Macaca fascicularis: one gene and its partners. The protein of the gene in region 1 purifies or fractionates together with the protein of each later gene. This does not show direct contact. Links are inferred from orthologs where the notes say so. Each region holds a gene or a part of one and is shown in the gene's direction. Other genes may lie near its edges.

Evidence for each region. The genes of interacting proteins can lie anywhere in the genome.
Region 2: the proteins of DNAJB11 (region 1) and SDF2L1 purify together in Homo sapiens (affinity purification with mass spectrometry; 3 studies listed by BioGRID and IntAct, counting the BioPlex papers as one, with this or other methods). This does not show direct contact. The link is inferred for Macaca fascicularis from reciprocal best matches to the Homo sapiens genes DNAJB11 and SDF2L1.
Region 3: the proteins of DNAJB11 (region 1) and DNAJC3 purify together in Homo sapiens (affinity purification with mass spectrometry; 3 studies listed by BioGRID and IntAct, with this or other methods). This does not show direct contact. The link is inferred for Macaca fascicularis from reciprocal best matches to the Homo sapiens genes DNAJB11 and DNAJC3.
Region 4: the proteins of DNAJB11 (region 1) and SDF2 purify together in Homo sapiens (affinity purification with mass spectrometry; 3 studies listed by BioGRID and IntAct, counting the BioPlex papers as one, with this or other methods). This does not show direct contact. The link is inferred for Macaca fascicularis from reciprocal best matches to the Homo sapiens genes DNAJB11 and SDF2.

Annotation. Positions count from the first base shown.
Region 1 is NC_088376.1:98,516,951-98,521,259, forward strand, and holds the start of DNAJB11 (dnaJ homolog subfamily B member 11), read left to right. Parts: upstream 1-1,506; 5' UTR 1,507-1,714; coding exon 1,715-1,782; intron 1,783-2,908; coding exon 2,909-3,065; intron 3,066-4,309. UniProt on the Homo sapiens protein: As a co-chaperone for HSPA5 it is required for proper folding, trafficking or degradation of proteins.
Region 2 is NC_088384.1:31,489,723-31,493,561, reverse strand, and holds SDF2L1 (stromal cell-derived factor 2-like protein 1), read left to right. Parts: upstream 1-1,352; 5' UTR 1,353-1,384; coding exon 1,385-1,571; intron 1,572-1,918; coding exon 1,919-2,115; intron 2,116-2,930; coding exon 2,931-3,212; 3' UTR 3,213-3,332; downstream 3,333-3,839.
Region 3 is NC_088391.1:86,615,565-86,619,835, forward strand, and holds the start of DNAJC3 (dnaJ homolog subfamily C member 3), read left to right. Parts: upstream 1-1,464; 5' UTR 1,465-1,571; coding exon 1,572-1,653; intron 1,654-4,271. UniProt on the Homo sapiens protein: Involved in the unfolded protein response (UPR) during endoplasmic reticulum (ER) stress.
Region 4 is NC_088390.1:34,133,083-34,137,095, reverse strand, and holds the start of SDF2 (stromal cell-derived factor 2), read left to right. Parts: upstream 1-1,206; 5' UTR 1,207-1,247; coding exon 1,248-1,398; intron 1,399-4,013.

The DNA of each region.
Region 1 (4,309 bases):
TTAGGAGCATAATAGGTGAGAGGACAAAGCATAAATGGCTTTGTAAACTAGCATAGAGCTGGGATTTTATTCTAAGTGCAAATGAAGAGCCATTCCAGGCTTTTAAACAGGGGAGTGACATGATTTGACTTTTATTTTTTATGTATTTATTTTTTTTTGAAATGGAGTCTCACTCTGTCGCCCAGGATGGAGTGCAGTGGCAGGAACTCAGGTCATTGCAACCTCCACCTCCCAGGTTCAAGCAATTCTCCTGCCTCAGCCTCCCGAGTAGCTGGGATTACAGGCGCTCGCCACCACACCCTGCTAATTTTTGTAGTTTTAGTAGAGACGGGGTTTCACCATGTTGGCCAGGCTGGTCTCAAGCTCCTGACCTCAGGTGATCCGCCCATCTCGGCCTCCCAAAGTGCTGGGATTACAGGCGTGAGCCACCGCGCCCGGCCCTTAAAAAAAAAAAAAAAAAAGGAGTGAGGGACAGGGATGAGCAACATATATGAAGGTATTAAGGAAGATATTAAGAGTGGAGACAAGGAGGCCAGTTAGGAGGCCCTGGCCAGGTGAGAGATACACTGTGATCCAGAGACCTAGTAATGGAGATGTAGTGAACAGATTCAAGTATAGTTCAGAGGTAAAGATTTGGATAGCTTATATATGAAAGGAGTAAAAACACCTAGAGCTTTGTCCTGATCAACTAGGTGTTGTGTAACTGTGATGAGCAAAATCGGGGGGGAAGACGGGGAATCAAAGACTTATGCTCGAACAGTAATAATGGTTTTTATTCATTGCCTGCTTACTATACGCCAGACGATTTACAGATTTTTTTTCCCTGTTAAAATTCACAGAACTGCCAATAAGTGCTTTGCCTTAGTTTTGTTGATAAAGAAACTTAGGCTCAGACTTGGGAGGAGGGAAGGAGTAAGGAGTCTCACCACTGAGAAGCGGTGCAAGCCGAATCCGCACTTAAGTCGGTCAATCATCACTGTCGCCTTTCCGAGACTTATGGAGTTGCTTGGAGAACGTAAAATAAGAGTCCTAAGCAATGCGTCCGATGTACAGTTGGGGAATAACCGTCCCCGCTCATTCTGCCGCTGTTCCCTCATTCTGCTCCCGCATTCGGCGCGTAGCTGGGTATGAATGAAATTCCAAACTTGAAACACAGAGAAAACTTCTCTCCCACAATTGGTTGGTGCTGGGGAGGAGCCTCCTGATTGGTGGAAAGTTCGAGGAAGTGGGTGAGTCGGGGAGGATTTCGTGTACCTCAGGTGCCCTTACTCGGACCAGCCCCCTACCATTACGTAATTTTCTACGACTCGGGGTAGCTCGGGCAGAGCGGGTTCCTGCAGCGGCGCGACCCTCTGACGTCTCCTCTTCTAATTGGTCAAGATCTGCGACTGCAGTTCTGAAGCCTAACTGGCTACCCGTGCCGCCTCGGAGGTGAAGTGTACTGCGCTGATTGGCTTTCAGGCGCCGGCCGCGTGTGATGTCCCGGGCAACGATTGGCTCTCGCTTACCGGGGTCTTCTCTCACCGGGACTTGGGACTCCCGGGAAGTGGACTGGAAGAGGAGGGGGCTAGCTAGCTGTCTCTGCGGACCAAGGAGGGGACCCCCCCGCCCCCCAGTGTGAGGCGCCTCACAGGGCTGGGTGGGCTGGCGAGCCGACGCGGCGGCGGAGGAGGCTGTGAGGAGTGTGTGGGACAAGACCCGGGACAGAGGAACCATGGCTCCGCAGAACCTGAGCACCTTTTGCCTGTTGCTACTGTACCTCATCGGGGCCGTGATTGCCGGGTGAGGAATAGACACTCGCAGACAGCGGGGCCCGGGGGTCAGCCTTTGCTAGGGGGTGGGAGGGGGTGGGGGAAGTGGTATTGCCAGACTGAGGGAGTGGAGAGGGGCATCGCTGTGGGTTGGCGGGGTGGCGGAGGAAGGGGTAGTATGGGCCAGACTAGTGGGGTGAGAAGCGAACCGTAGGTGACACCAGTGAGAAGGCGTTAGGTCCAGAGAAGGTCTTTGGTAGAGCTAGATTTGCCCGGAGGAGTGGGAGTTGGATGCATTGCCAACGGCATTTGGGGGATGAGGGAAAGAAGGTGGTTGTGAGCTGGAGCACTGTCACGTAGAGCTGGGGGAAGAAAGAGGGATGCCTGACTGTAAGGAAAGGTAGTGACAGTGCTAGGCTGAGGTTGGGGGGATGGACGTTTGTTTGATCAAAGAGGTGGGTTGCTGTGCCCCGCTGAGCTGGAGAAGCGGACGATGCTCTATGCCAAGCCTGCGAAGAGCCATTGGGGGGCTGACATTAAAGTGGGTGGATGATGCCAGGCCGAGTTGGGACTGAAGGAAATTGGATGGGGAGGGGAACAAGAAGACCCTTTGGAGAGCCCTTGTGCTTCCCAGCTTCTTGAGCTATTTATTGTCTTAAGTTGCTTCGTCTTTAACATTCTGGCAATGCTACTGTTAGGACATTTATGTGGCATAATCTTTTTAAATAAGGAAAATCATCCCTTGAGAGTGTTATTTGACTTTTAGAAAAGTCAAAATCATTTGGAGCAAATGTAGAGAAAGGGGGGAAGAGTTAATTTGATTATATGGTTATTGCCTAAAGATAACATGAGACCATAAAATAAGGAAGTGGTTTTCTTGACTGAAGGTGGTTCTGAAAGAAGATGCCACAGATGTTTTGAATAATCTAAAAAGAAGTATGTAGCTTCTTACTGTGATTACTTCAATATATAAGATTCATTACAAATTCTGGTGTTCTCTTTTTAGTCATTCTTTGTGTGTATATGTGTCACATAAACGTTCACTTTCGTACCTCTTTGCTCAGACACAAACCTAAATGTAGAGGAAAAATAAATCTTTTACTTTTAAAAATGTAACATGTAACTCTGATGAAGTATTCTCTCCCTCTACTTCCCAGACGAGACTTCTATAAGATCTTGGGGGTGCCTCGAAGTGCCTCTATAAAGGATATTAAAAAGGCCTATAGGAAACTAGCCCTGCAGCTTCATCCCGACCGGAACCCTGATGATCCACAAGCCCAGGAGAAATTCCAGGATCTGGGTGCTGCTTATGAGGTGAGTCAGGAAAAGTGATAAAGAACAAATAAAATCTGTAGCTCTAGAAAAAATATACAATACAGAGAAATACTCTTTTCAGCTCACATATATTTATTTAGAGACTGAGTCTCACTTTATTGCCTAGGCTGGAGTGCAGTGGTGCAATCTCTGCTCACTGCAACCTCCGCCTCCCCGGTTCAAGCACTTCTCCCACCTCAGCCTCCCGAGTAGCTGGGATTACAAGTGCATGTCACCACGCCTGGTTAATTTTTGTATTTTTAGTAGAGACAGGGTTTCACCATGTTGGCCAGGCTGGTCTCGAACTCCTGACCTCAAGTGACCCGCCCGCCTCGGCCTCTCAAAGTGTTGGGATTACAGGTGTGAGCTACCACGCCCAGCCCAGGTCACTTTTATTTAAAAGTAGATGGTAGATGAAAGTAAAAGTAGTACTTGATACTGTATTGTACTAGATATTACATTCATGTTAGTAGATACCATTTTCTGCCTTTTGATATTAATATTTATTTTAAGAAGGAGAATAATGCTGCAAAAGAATAAATGAAAGATTGGTAGATTAATAAGTAGATCAACTGATTGGTCTGTCAGTCAGTCAGTTTGGGAGCTAGACCAAAAATAAAAAGAAAGCCTTCATGAGAGTTGCAAACCTACATGTTCATATGAACTAGACAAATAACATGCAGGGCAGGTATAAATTAAAACATGACAGCAGATATTCTGCCTCCATGTTGGGAAGCAATAAGGATTGTTGAGGGCTTTGACAAATTGAAGCCTTCTGGCCCCATTTCAAGGGAGCAGCTGTTACCTCAACCCTAGCCAGTTTTTGTCATAGTAATGCAAACAGTATGTTCCTAGATGATTTAATTTTTCCAGAAAAGTTGAAAATCTAGACTTTTATATAAGTTCTGCTTGTAAAAATGTTGGTAACTAATTCAGTTAAATTTCTTTTTTACGTAGATCAAACAAAGCACAGTTTTAATTTGATTTTCCAACCTCTAATCTGGGGACCAAAACACTCTCCATTTGTATCATCTCATTTAACCTTCACTAGGACACCAGGAAATACATTAGAGCTAGGCATATTTTTATTCTCATTTTCTAAATGGACACAGAAAAAAATTAGTTGAACTAAAAGTCATAGAGCTAAAACTCCCGAATTTAAGTTTAAATTCTTATATATTGAGAAGGCTAAAAACAAATTGAAAAGTATTTTAGGAAGACATAAACCTTGAAAGGAAGGAATC
Region 2 (3,839 bases), on another chromosome or scaffold:
GGAATTCTGCTTTGCATGTGTTGATTTTGAGGTGATGGCTGACATGTCCAAGAGTATATATCCGTTGCCTCTCAGATAGTACTTCAGCTCTTCCACCCTAGACTGGAAACCCCTCAAGTGCAGTGACTACCAAATCCAGGGTAGACTGACCTTTAACTGTTTGGACACCTAAATGCTGAAAAGATCAAGGTGACTTATACTACATGTAACTCAAAATAAAAACAATATGAAACATGAAACCCCCAAAATAACATGTTGCTGTAATGAAAATCGCTTTACTCTGGATTTTCTGAATGCAAAATTCTGGACGATTTAATTAAATATGAACTTTTGTCTCTGCTTTGCCTGTGCTTCAACTACACCCTAGCCTCTTGAGCCCAGAGCTATTTCCTCTGTGACCCCACAGGATCTGGAGTGAAGCCGCTGCAACAATGTCCCATGAATGAATAAACAGTGGTATAAGTTTTCCTCCCTTTGAAGGTTGAGCTGACAACACTCTGAGAAGGCGGCAAAAGGGAGACCTACTCATGGCCAGGAGACTGGGACACAGTCACCCAGGCTTGGTTCCCACAGCCCCTTGGTCTCCTTGGACTCTGGTTTCCTAAGACAGCTCTGGGGCTTTCTGGTGGGAAGCTGCCATTATTCTCGACGCCACAGCTCCCTGCTGCCCTCTCCTGCCCGATGACCCAGTGACCACAAGATTTAGCCACGAAAGGAGTCAAATGTATAAGTGGCCAGGGGAATTCAGAAACCCCAGGGTCTAGGGACTGTGGTGACCCAGTGTCAGAGAGGCGGCTAGGGCCGAATGACTGGGGGTTTCATTAATCTCGGGGTCCAGGGACTGAAGGACCAGACGATTCAGTGATTCTGGGATCTGTCGACTTTGTGACCACAAAATCTAGTGATCCAACAGCCTCAAGACCCTGCAGTTGTGGTCCCAGGTTCTGAGGGGAGAGACTAATTACTGAGTGCCCAGGAGTCCAGGATCAAGGGGCGTCGTGAACACGTGCCTGCAGGGTCCTAGGATCCTGAGCTGGTATCCAGGCACTCAGCGGCTGCGGGGCTCGGACTCGGCGTCCTCACCAAGCGCTCCCGCTCATTCTCCGCCGCTTGGCTACTCAGCCGCCCTTCCCTGGACACTCATTGGAAAGTCCTCGGAAGCGTGTACCAATCAAAACCCTCCTCGTGTCTCCAGTCCCCGCCCAGCTACTGCTCTAGCGAGCCGGGGGCGGGCCCTCTCCTCAATGACCCAATGGCAGTGCAAGCGGAGTGCCGCGCGGGCCGACCATTGGCTGCCGCGAGCGGGCGCTGTCAGAACTGGATTGGGCCGCGGCGAGGACGGAAGCAGCCCTAGGGCCGGAGCGGCTGGAGCCGGGCCGGGGCGATGTGGAGCGCGGGCCGCGGCGGGTCTGCCGGGCCGGTGCTGTTGGGGCTGCTGCTGGCGCTCTTAGTGCCGGGCGGTAGTGCCGCCAAGACTGGCGCGGGGCTCGTGACCTGCGGGTCGGTGCTGAAGCTGCTCAATACGCACCACCGGGTGCGGCTGCACTCGCACGACATCAAATACGGATCCGGTGCGTGTGACCTGCGACTGGGAGAGCGCGGGGATCGGGGGCTTGGGGTTGGGAGTGTGGAGACAGGGTGGTCGTGGGGGTCTGTGGGCCATCTCGAAGCCGGGCGGCGGAGGCTCTAGAGTCGTTGGGGGGTCGAGGGGCGCAAGGCTTTGAGTGTGTCGAGGATATTGAGGGTGGGGACGGTCGTCGGGGAACTGCAGGCCCAAAGACTGAGGGGGGTGTCAGGCGGGGGCCGGGACTGGGGGTGAGCCCCTTGGGGTCCCCTGGGAAATGTTATGGTCCCAGGGCGAGGGTCCGGGGTTCTGCGATTGACGGAGACCCTGGGTGGGTGGGGTGTCACTCCTCAGGCAGCGGCCAGCAATCGGTGACCGGCGTGGAGGCGTCGGACGACGCCAATAGCTACTGGCGGATCCGCGGCGGTTCGGAAGGCGGGTGCCCGCGTGGGTCCCCGGTGCGCTGCGGGCAGGCAGTGCGGCTCACGCATGTGCTTACAGGCAAGAACCTACACACGCACCACTTCCCGTCACCGCTGTCCAACAACCAGGTGAGCCCCTCCCGGAGCCCCCAGAGAGATTCCTGGCCTGTGTGAGGGGCCAGAGATCCTGGGTTCCAATCCGAGCCTCAGCTTCTTCGTGAAATGGAAATTTCACTTCAGAGATGGTTATTGAGCACCCCTTCGGGGGAAACAGAGTAACTCCGCCAAGATCCTGCCCCCAGGTGCTCCCGGCCCTGCAGGGAGACCGATGGGAGAGAGATCCGAAGAGATCCTCCTGGATAGCTCTTCCTCTGGGGGCAAGTGGGACCCAGGAGGAGAATCCACACAGCCTTGAGGGTGGGGAATAGGAAACTCCACTGGGGAGGAGGAACTCAGGCTGGGTCTGAAAGGATGATTAGGAGTCCTCCAAGCCACAAAGGGAAAAGAAGGACTTCCCAGGCCAGCAGAAGAGATTGCACCAATGCGTGGAGGTCAGTGGAATTCAGGGGATTGGGATGGAACAGTGGGTGCCCTTGGAGAGTTGGTGGAAGAAAATGTTTGAGATAGATAGACAGCTTGACTGCTAGCCTGAGGGGCTGAAGGTAGGTCAGAGGGATTAGGACTGGGAGAATGTGGAGGAGGAGGCCTTAGCTCTGTGGGGACCAGTAGTCTCTGCACAGACAGATGCAATGGTGTGTGCACGTGTCTGAAGAGCCCATGCTGGGGAGGGAGTGCCAGAGGTTGTGCGGGCGGGTCATGGTGTCACCTTTTGCAGCTGTGGGAGCTGAGTCTCCAGGAAGGGCAGGGAAGGATCCTAGGCTCAGTGTAGGTACGAATGCCGCCTTCTGTGGTGACCACTGTCCCCTCACCCTCTGCACCTATAGGAGGTGAGTGCCTTTGGGGAAGACGGCGAGGGTGACGACCTGGACCTATGGACAGTGCGCTGCTCTGGACAGCACTGGGAGCGTGAGGCTGCTGTGCGCTTCCAGCACGTGGGCACCTCTGTGTTCCTGTCAGTCACGGGTGAGCAGTATGGAAGCCCCATCCGTGGGCAGCATGAGGTCCACGGCATGCCCAGTGCCAACACGCACAATACATGGAAGGCCATGGAAGGCATCTTCATCAAGCCTAGTGTGGAGCCCTCTGCAGGTCACGATGAACTCTGAGTGTGGGATGGATGAATGGGTGGATAGAAGGTGGGGTGTCTGCGGGCCCACTCTTGGCAGAGACTTTGGGTTTGTAGGGGTCCTCAAGTGCCTTTGTGATTAAAGAATGTTGGTCTATGATTGTGTTTCACTGTGAACCTGAGGATGACCAGGAGCTGCCAGCCCAGGCCCAGTTGATCATCTCTTCCTCAGTGTAAAACCTGTCTCCATCCCAGCGTGACTGCTGAACCTGTCCAAACCCTTTATTATTATTATTATTATTCTTGGTTTTTTGGGGGGTTTTGCTTTTTTTTTTCTTTTGAGACGAACTCTCGCTCTTGTCCCCCAGGCTGGAGCGCAATGGTGCAATCTCAACTCACTGCAACCTCCGTCCCCTGGGTTCAAGTGATTCTCCTGCCTCAGCCTCCTGAGTAGCTGGGATTACAGGCATCTGCCACCATACCCGGTTAATTTTTGTATTTTTTTTTTTTTTAAGTAGAGACGGGGTTTCACCATGTTGGCCAGGCTGGTCTCGAACTTCCTACCTCAGGTGATATGCCCACCTCAGCCTCCCAAAGTGCTGGGATTACAGACATGAACCACCATGCACGGCCTGGGTTTTGCTTTTTTAGAGATGGTCTCACTCTG
Region 3 (4,271 bases), on another chromosome or scaffold:
AAAAAAAAAAAAAAATCCCAAGGAATTTCTGAAGGAGCCTCTCTTAACTATTCCGCTGTTGTTAGAATAACTAACACTGGTATAACATTCTACAATTTATAAGAACATTTATCTGCTTCATGAAACCTCAAAACAAACCTTTGAGACTTTCAGGATCCTAACCACTTTACAGATGACGATAACTTACATAAAAGTTATGGGGTTTCCTGGATCTGAATCCTTTACTCTTCACATTATATTATTTTGCCTTCCCCAAAACTAATCAAGGACTCCGTTTTTTCTTTTTTCTTTCTCGAAACCATTTCCTCCATATTAGTTCTCTTCGGAATAGACGCCTTTTAAAAAGTCCTCGTTAGTATATCTTCAGGGAATCACAAATTCACTATGCTATTTATAATTCATGAGTTTCTCTATGGTAGCAAGGCAGCAAATACAGGTGAAGTAATAAGTATGCACTTGATATTATTTAACACACATACCCCGTGTAAAAATACTGCTGGTGTACAGTGTGTGTGTTGGTGACGCCGGAGGAAGTGGCCGTGAACAGGCTTAATGCCGCATTGAGTTACTTCAACCTCATCTTGCTCAGGTTCGTATCTCTCTTGAATTTCCCATGGTAAGCGCAAGATGCAGGATCCGTTCTCACAGTATTTTGCTTACCAGTTGACGTTGGCTGCATTCAGGAACGCCTCGCTCTCTTAAACCACAGTGCCTTCCTGGTCTCTTCTTCACAGGGTTTTCCACAATCGCTGTTTTTCCTGGGCACGCTGGTTTGCTGAAAGTCGGGGTGGCGGGGCCCAAGTTTCCAGGCCAATTACCTACCTGCCTTAGAACAATTACGCACTTGTCTCTGGTTGTCCCTGAAATGGTCTAATCATCAGATCGCCCTAATGAACGCCCAGCTTCTCCTGATCGTTTCTTGCTTACGGCTCAGTTCAGGCAGTATTTGTTCCGGGACTCTCAGCGGGAGGCGGTGTTTACCGGCTCACTTGAGACCTCAATTCCAGACGCCCCGGGACCGTGTTTGGCCTTCCCATTCGGACGCTGCGGCTGAGCTTTCCTCTCCTAACATCACGCTGGCGAACCTCGGAAGGATCAAATTGTCCCACTCGCCAACCTAGAGCGGCGGGACCGGCCCAAAAGGGCCTTTGCAGCCTGCGCATGCGGACTCGGCGACCGCCACAGACTCCCCGTCGGCTTCCCTCCGAGCGGCCGCGGCGGTTTGGAGCTTGCTGACAGCTCTGCGACCGGCAGACGCAGCCTCGTCTCGTGCTTCCACGTTATCCTATCAGAGACGGGGCGGGGCGGCGGCCTCCGCAGCCTATCAGCGCGAACCACGACCCCGGCGAGCCCGGGAGGAAAGCCGCCAGAAAGAAGGCGATTGGACGGCGGCGGCGCTCCGGGGCGTAGCGTGGCCCGGGCCCCGCCCACCGCTGCCTTCCTCTGCTGGGCTCCAGAGCCGCTGAGGCCTGAGCGAGAGCCGACCGGGGCGGGCGCAACTGCTGCCAGAGCGCCGGCGCGTGCTGGTGGGCCACACACTCTTCCTTCTCTTCACTTGCGAGCCCTCGGACATGGTGGCCCCCGGCTCCGTGACCAGCCGGCTGGGCTCGGTGTTCCCCTTCCTGCTAGTCCTGGTGGATCTGCAGTACGAAGGTGAGTCCTGCCCTGCCCCGGCCGGGAAGTGGGCTCCCGGACCAGGCCCCCCGCGCTTTCCCGTCTGCGCCCGGGCGCGTGTCCCGGGGCGGCTCGGGAGGTGGGGTGAGCGCTGGGGGAGCCCGCGGCCTGGCTTGGGCCTGAGCCCGCGCCCGGTTCCGGGTTTGCCTGGGGAAGAGTCGAGGGGACCGGAGGGCCGCGGGGCCGGGACAGCGGGTTTGGACTAAGGAAAGGGGCCGCAGGAGTCGGAGGAGGCGGAGTGCACCCCGTGGCGGGGAGCGGGGGCACGGGGCTGCGACTTCAGGACGTCCTGGGACGCGGAGACTTGGACAGTCTTTGGGTCCCGGCCTCGCTTGGGACCCTCGCTGGGCGCCTGGGGACACTGTCAGTCATTGGTGCTAGGAGGAGGCACTAAGGTGCCCAAAAGACTTCCTTCGCCCTGGCGTTCTTGGGTGGGGTAGAAGTGTCATGTCTGGCTGGGAGTTAGAGGGGACGGTGTTGACTATTTAAAAAGTGAGTAACCATCCGCATTAAGATGCACTGTCGTGTGGAGAAATTGTTAGTTTGGTGCAGGGAGGAGCCGCTGTTGGAATTCCACCTCCCGGACGGCCAGGCACTGAGTTTGTGGTTTTACAACTCCCAGCATGGTGCCATTCAACGTATAGCTGGCATTACTTTTCCAAGTTCGCTGTAAAAGGTTCCCTTAAAAAGATATGAGGGATTAAATTTCACTTCAGTCCTGCAGACTGGAATGTTGGCTACTCCAGAATAGCGAAAATAGAGGACTGTCCTATCTTAGATGGCAGCGGGGAGGAGTAAGAATTAAAGCTGATAGTGCCGATTTAACGAATGCTTCTGGCGCGGTTACTGTGCGAAATATTCGAGTGTAATGACACATCACATGCACTGATCTATTTTCATCCCCGTAAAAAGGGCTAGTTGTCAAGGAGGTCAAATTAAACCTTTTGAGTATTCCATTCAAAGGGAGCGAGGAACTAAAAGTTGGGAATTGTTTATAGTGAATTCTTCTGAAAGTTCTTAACCTTTTTTTTTTTTAAAGTAGTACTCCCCAGTTTTTAGGTCTCACCCACAGCAGTGGGTTTTGCTTTTGCTTCCCCCGGTAACCATATTTTTTGAACCCCAAATCAGAACACATAGTGTGGCAACACTGGGACAAAGAATTTGACAGTGAGGCTGCCGCCAGAAAATCTAAGGGGATTGGATTGTACCACTTTAATATGGGTCATATATTCTAGTTCTTTTGCATTTTCAAAAGCTTCATTCCTCCTGCCCCCGCACCTCCCACCCCTCATCTCTATTATTTATCTCCAGTTATCATTTATGATTTATTTTGGACACTTAAGAGAAAGTTGCCTATGTTCTGTTTAATGGTGATTTTTTTTTTTTAAGTTACAGAGGTGCACAATTTTGAATGATTGCTTTTCCCACTACTTTGTGAACCATCTTTTTAGAATTGCTGTTCTGTTTATGGGTCTGTAAGGACTCTTTAACTCTTCATTTCCCTCCTGTGGTATTTTCCATGAGAAAACCTTATTAGAGAGCTTTTCTGTGTAGGAGGCACTGGTGACATTTTTCAGAGGAGTGCCAGAGTGTCTTCTTTAGGACCATTGTCTTTGTAAAGTAGCGGGGACTTGGTACAGGTAACAGAAAAGAAAGGAAAGAAAGGAGCCTTTCTGTAAGCTATCTCTTATTTATGAAAGCGTGTGGTATTATTCCTGCTTCACAGACCAGGGAACTGAGGCTCCAAAGGTTTTACTAAAGTTCATTTTGTGTGCACGCTGGAGACAGAAGTAGTTGACAACATCATGTGAGTCCAAGCATTTTTAAGTGATGGCAGCTGAGGAAAAAACCCCAGCACTTTTTTGTAATTAACAGGAAGGTTATTTCCTGGGAGGTTTAATACAATGGTTCTCAAACTTGAGTGTGCATCAGAATCGCACATGGAGGGGTTTTAAAACAGAGTGCTGTACCCCACTTACAGAGCTTGATTCATTAGATCTTGATAGTACCTGAAATTGTGCTTTTCTATAAAGACGCCAGATGACCACACTTGAGTTACTGGTGTAATAAATTATATAGAGGAGTTAAATTAGGGGTCTGCTATGTATTTGACACTGGATTTGGTGATGGGGATATAAAGGTAAGAACTCTGTCTTGAATTAGCAAACTGTTAGCCCCTGTTTTCCCAAATAAATTCTGTCTGGATTCACTAATCTCATAGTTCTCTGGGAGGCAAATGGTGCTACTGCTAGGCCTGAGGCTTAATAAAATTGTGTTGTATTAAGGATTTTTGTTAAATAGGTAGATTTTAGCTGCTCTTGTCACACAAAAAATAATTATGTGAGATGATAGATATATTAATCTGCTTCACTCTTGTTAATCTGCTTCACTATTGTAACCATTTTATCTGTGTGTGTCTCATACTATGTTGTAAACATCGAATATACACAATACAATTCACTTTTAAAAAAAGAAATGGAGAATGGTTATGAGAGAAGTGAATGTGGAACTAAGAGTGGCACAGGATGGAGAAGAGATGACCTAGTTTTTTCTGATTTTGAAATATTTGTCTGTTTTCTTCTAGATTTTTCTGTTAG
Region 4 (4,013 bases), on another chromosome or scaffold:
CACCCTTGTTACTTCTGATACAGTGAATTTCCATGGAAGTATTTCCAGAGATCTTAGGCCTGTGAAATAAGTATCAGTTCTTGCAACAACCCAGGAAAATTAACTTCTCCAGCTGGTTCAAACGAGTGCCTGAGGAGAAAGGCAGAAACTAGAAGACGAGTTTTGACTTAATAACTCATTTTGATGTTCATGATAGGCCTCTGGCACACGTTTGAGGAAATGAATCTACGGAGAATGGACGGGCTTTAGGTACTTCTACAACACCTTCGATCTTTAGAAAGGGATGAAGGATGCAACTATCTACAAAAAGTTCTATTTGTATTATTCAGCAACATGTAAAGAGCTGGAATTTGGCATCGCCCTCTAGCCTGATGATCGAGCTGCTGAAAGCTCCATAGGATTCATAACCTCAGAACAAACAACTCGATCACCTGATCCTGGTTCAGAAGCCCCAGGTCCCTTCTATCCCCAATCCTTTCGCGTGGCCCAGTTTTAAAAATCTGCGGAGAGAAGGACTGGATGCCAGGAAGCCTGTTGATTCAACATGCCACTCAATTCACGGGTTCCGGGTGTTACCGGGCTGGGAAAAGCTTTGAGACTCTGAGCAACTGCAGCGCTTTCCTCCCCCTTCCCCCCATAGAGCAGGGAAGGCCAGGCCCCCCCTTCTTCCCACATACGGCTCCCCATTGCCTCTTCCCTTACGGGACCAGGCCCTAGGAGCCCGGTTCCCCACCTGACTCCTGCGAGAAACACGCTCCCCAGTCGGAACTTTACTTGCCTGAAGTCCGCCGCTCCTCCGGTGCGCTAAGCCCCCACCGAGGAAAAATGGAGTCGTCGAACCGAGACAGGGAAAAGATACTACGGACCCACCGCACTGCCCCTCCGCCGCCGCCGCCGCCGCCGCCGCCGCTGCGTCAACGTGCTACGTCATTTCCGGCTCTCTGTCACCGGGAGTGGGTGGGCCATTGCTTGTTCTCTCTCCCGCTCTCGGGAGCTTTCGTCCCGTGGGTGCGAACGGTAACCGAAGCGGCTCAGGAAGGCAGCTGTTACTGAGCCCCTGGAACAGGGCGAGAGTATCGTAAGTAACCAGGCTCAGCCTGTTTCTCAGGCCGCTCTAGCCAGATAAACCATAAAGATCAGACTCGGGCTTCTTCACTTCCTTCTCTCCGTGGTATCGTCTTCAGCTTCCGGTTCCGGGGAGGGGCCGCGTTTTCTTCGAAGATTTGGGGCTCCGCGATACAGCTAGGATGGCTGTAGTACCTCTACTGTTATTGGGGTGTTTGTGGAGCGCTGTGGGTGCGTCCAGCCTGGCTGTCGTTACTTGCGGCTCCGTGGTAAAGCTACTCAATACGCGCCACAACGTCCGACTGCACTCACACGACGTGCGCTATGGGTCAGGTAATGCTGGGGATCGGGCTCGGGTGGGCTCGGGAGGCCTGGGAGTATCTGGAGGGGCGGGGCCTAAAGAAAATCTGAGGGTGTGGTCTGGGAAGGTTAGGTGTTCCCTGGGACGGTTCCTCAGGTCTGGATAGTCGGATAACTGAGTTGTTCTAAGGCATCTTAATCGCAACACCACCTAATATTTGGTGAACTACAGGCCAGGCACGTTACCTATGTACTTTTCCCGCTTATTAACATTCATGTAAGGTGACACTATTGCTATCCTCATTTCACAGATGAGTTAACAGACGCAGAGAAATTAAATCGTTTATTCAAAGCCTTGCAGCTAGCAAATGTCAAAGTCGGGGTTCTATCCAAATCTATCCAGGTTCAAAGCCTGCTTTAGAGACAGACAAGAAAATTACAGGAAGTGCTGTGTCTGAAATTTTAAAGTAACAGTAAGTACTGTATCTCAAACTTTAAACTCCAAGAGCTCACTCGTTGACTACAACCCTTTGTCTTCCAGCTCTTCCGCATCTTACACTTGCTCCTTAATTCCTATCTTTTGGGCCCCTTCTACCCAAATCTGAACCTCCTTCTTGTAAGGAACTTGGAGCAGTGACAGGAATTGCACAGAAACTTTTTTTTTTTTTAAGCATTTGAAATTAAAATGTTTAATAATAAATTATTTGAATTCATTCATTCAGCATAGGTCTTAATGAGTTCCTACTAAATGACTAGAATTGTACTACCTGCAGGAGATTCGGTAGTGATAATCAGTCAAGAAGATTACAATATAATAAAAACAGACCAAAAAAAGAAAGTCTTATCTGCCTGAAAAAAAAAGATAAGCAAACAAAAAAAGAATGAAGGTCAGCTAGTGAGATGTGAGAGGCATTTAAGATAGCTGGTAGAATTCTATCTTGGATGACTGATGATGCTGTTTGCTGAGGGAGGAAAGAGTTCTGTCAGGTGGGCTAGTCTGGTTCATGATTCCCAAAACCTATCTGATCAGTTAGACTAGGCAAGGACGTGAGTTATCATCACTGCGATGTCTTAATAATCCTAGCACCCATTCAGTGAACACCTAACATGTTGTCAGGCTTATTTTTTAATTTGCTTTGGTTTCCAACTTTGGATCTACTGAATTAGAGTGGAGGTGGACAGAGGCTTGGCAGTAGCAATCTGTAGGTTTAAAAAGCTCTTCAGGTGGTTCTGATGGACAGCCAGATTTGGGAACCAGGTTCAGTCTGAAGCTCAGAAAAGGGATCTCTGCTGAGCCTGAGATACCACATTAGATACAACATTAAATACAACATCTTGTACAGACTGTGGTTGAAAATGTCAGGGTAGTGGATGAAATTGCCCAGGATGAACTGTGGTTCTCAATCTGGGATCAATATGAATAACTTGAGAAACTTGTTAAAAATACAAATGCTTTTGTCCTGACCCTCAGCAATTTAAGAACTACAGGTGGAAATATATGAAGGCCAGGCATAGAACTTTGGATAATCCCAAGGTATAAGGATTTGGAGGAGGAAGTGAAGGGTTGAATAGAAAGCAGAAAATGTAGGAGACAAAATGTAGACCATGGTTTAGTAGTGAAGCGTGGCTGTGAGGACCCCAGAGAGCTGTAAGGCAGTAACCAGAAGTAGGAAGGGAGACTTGGTTTGGCTTTTCTGAAAAAGAATGATATAATAAAGTCATGAGCTGAGTGGAAGGAGACAGTAGAAAGGAGCTGATAGTTGGCTATATTTACCCGTGTAACTGGCACGAGGCATAATGGTATACGTGGTAAAAGTGAAATATCAAAAGTCTTTGGTCAGGCAAGGCCATGGAGCTGAAAGCAAAGCTAGAAGGAACAGGTAAAACTATTAGAGGAAAGTATCTGGGAAATACGAATGCTTTCAAAGACCTGGGTAGTGAATGAAGCCTAGGAAAGAGGGTATCCCTGGTGTTTATGAGAGTAGCTCGTTTGGGGAAACCTGACAATTTAAAGCTTTTGGAAGAAATATGATCTTAATGAGATATGATGCAGAATGGTTAAGAGTGTTAGTTCTAGAGTCGGGCTGTCTAGGTTCATTCAGTCCCAGCCTTGTTTCTTAGAGTTGTGTGACCTTGGGTATGCTGGGGATAATAATACCTACTTCAGCAAATGTAGATGTCAAATAAGAATATTCAAACAAAGGACTTAGGTCAGTGCTAGATACCCAGTAAGTCCTCACACACTGTGGTGCTGAGCAGTCTTAGTAACACACATTAGCTATCAGCGATTATTTGTATACCGCACCCCCCCGCCCCAGCTTTTTAAATCCTGTAGCTAGATTTTTTCTTTCCTTAAGAGACATGGGAGACCAAGGCAGGAGAATCACTTGAACCAGAGAATTGGAGGTTGCAGTGAGCCGAGATCGCACCACTGCACTCCAGCCTGGTGACAGAACAGACTCTGTCTCAAAAAAAAAAAGAAAGAAATTAAGAAACAGAGTCTTACTCTGTCGTCCAAGCTGAGGTGCAGTGACACAATCACGACTCATTGCAGCCTTGACCTCCTGGGCCCAAGCAATCCTCACATCTCAGCCTCCTGAGTAGCTGGGACTGCAAGTGCACCCCACCACACCTGATTAATTTTTTGG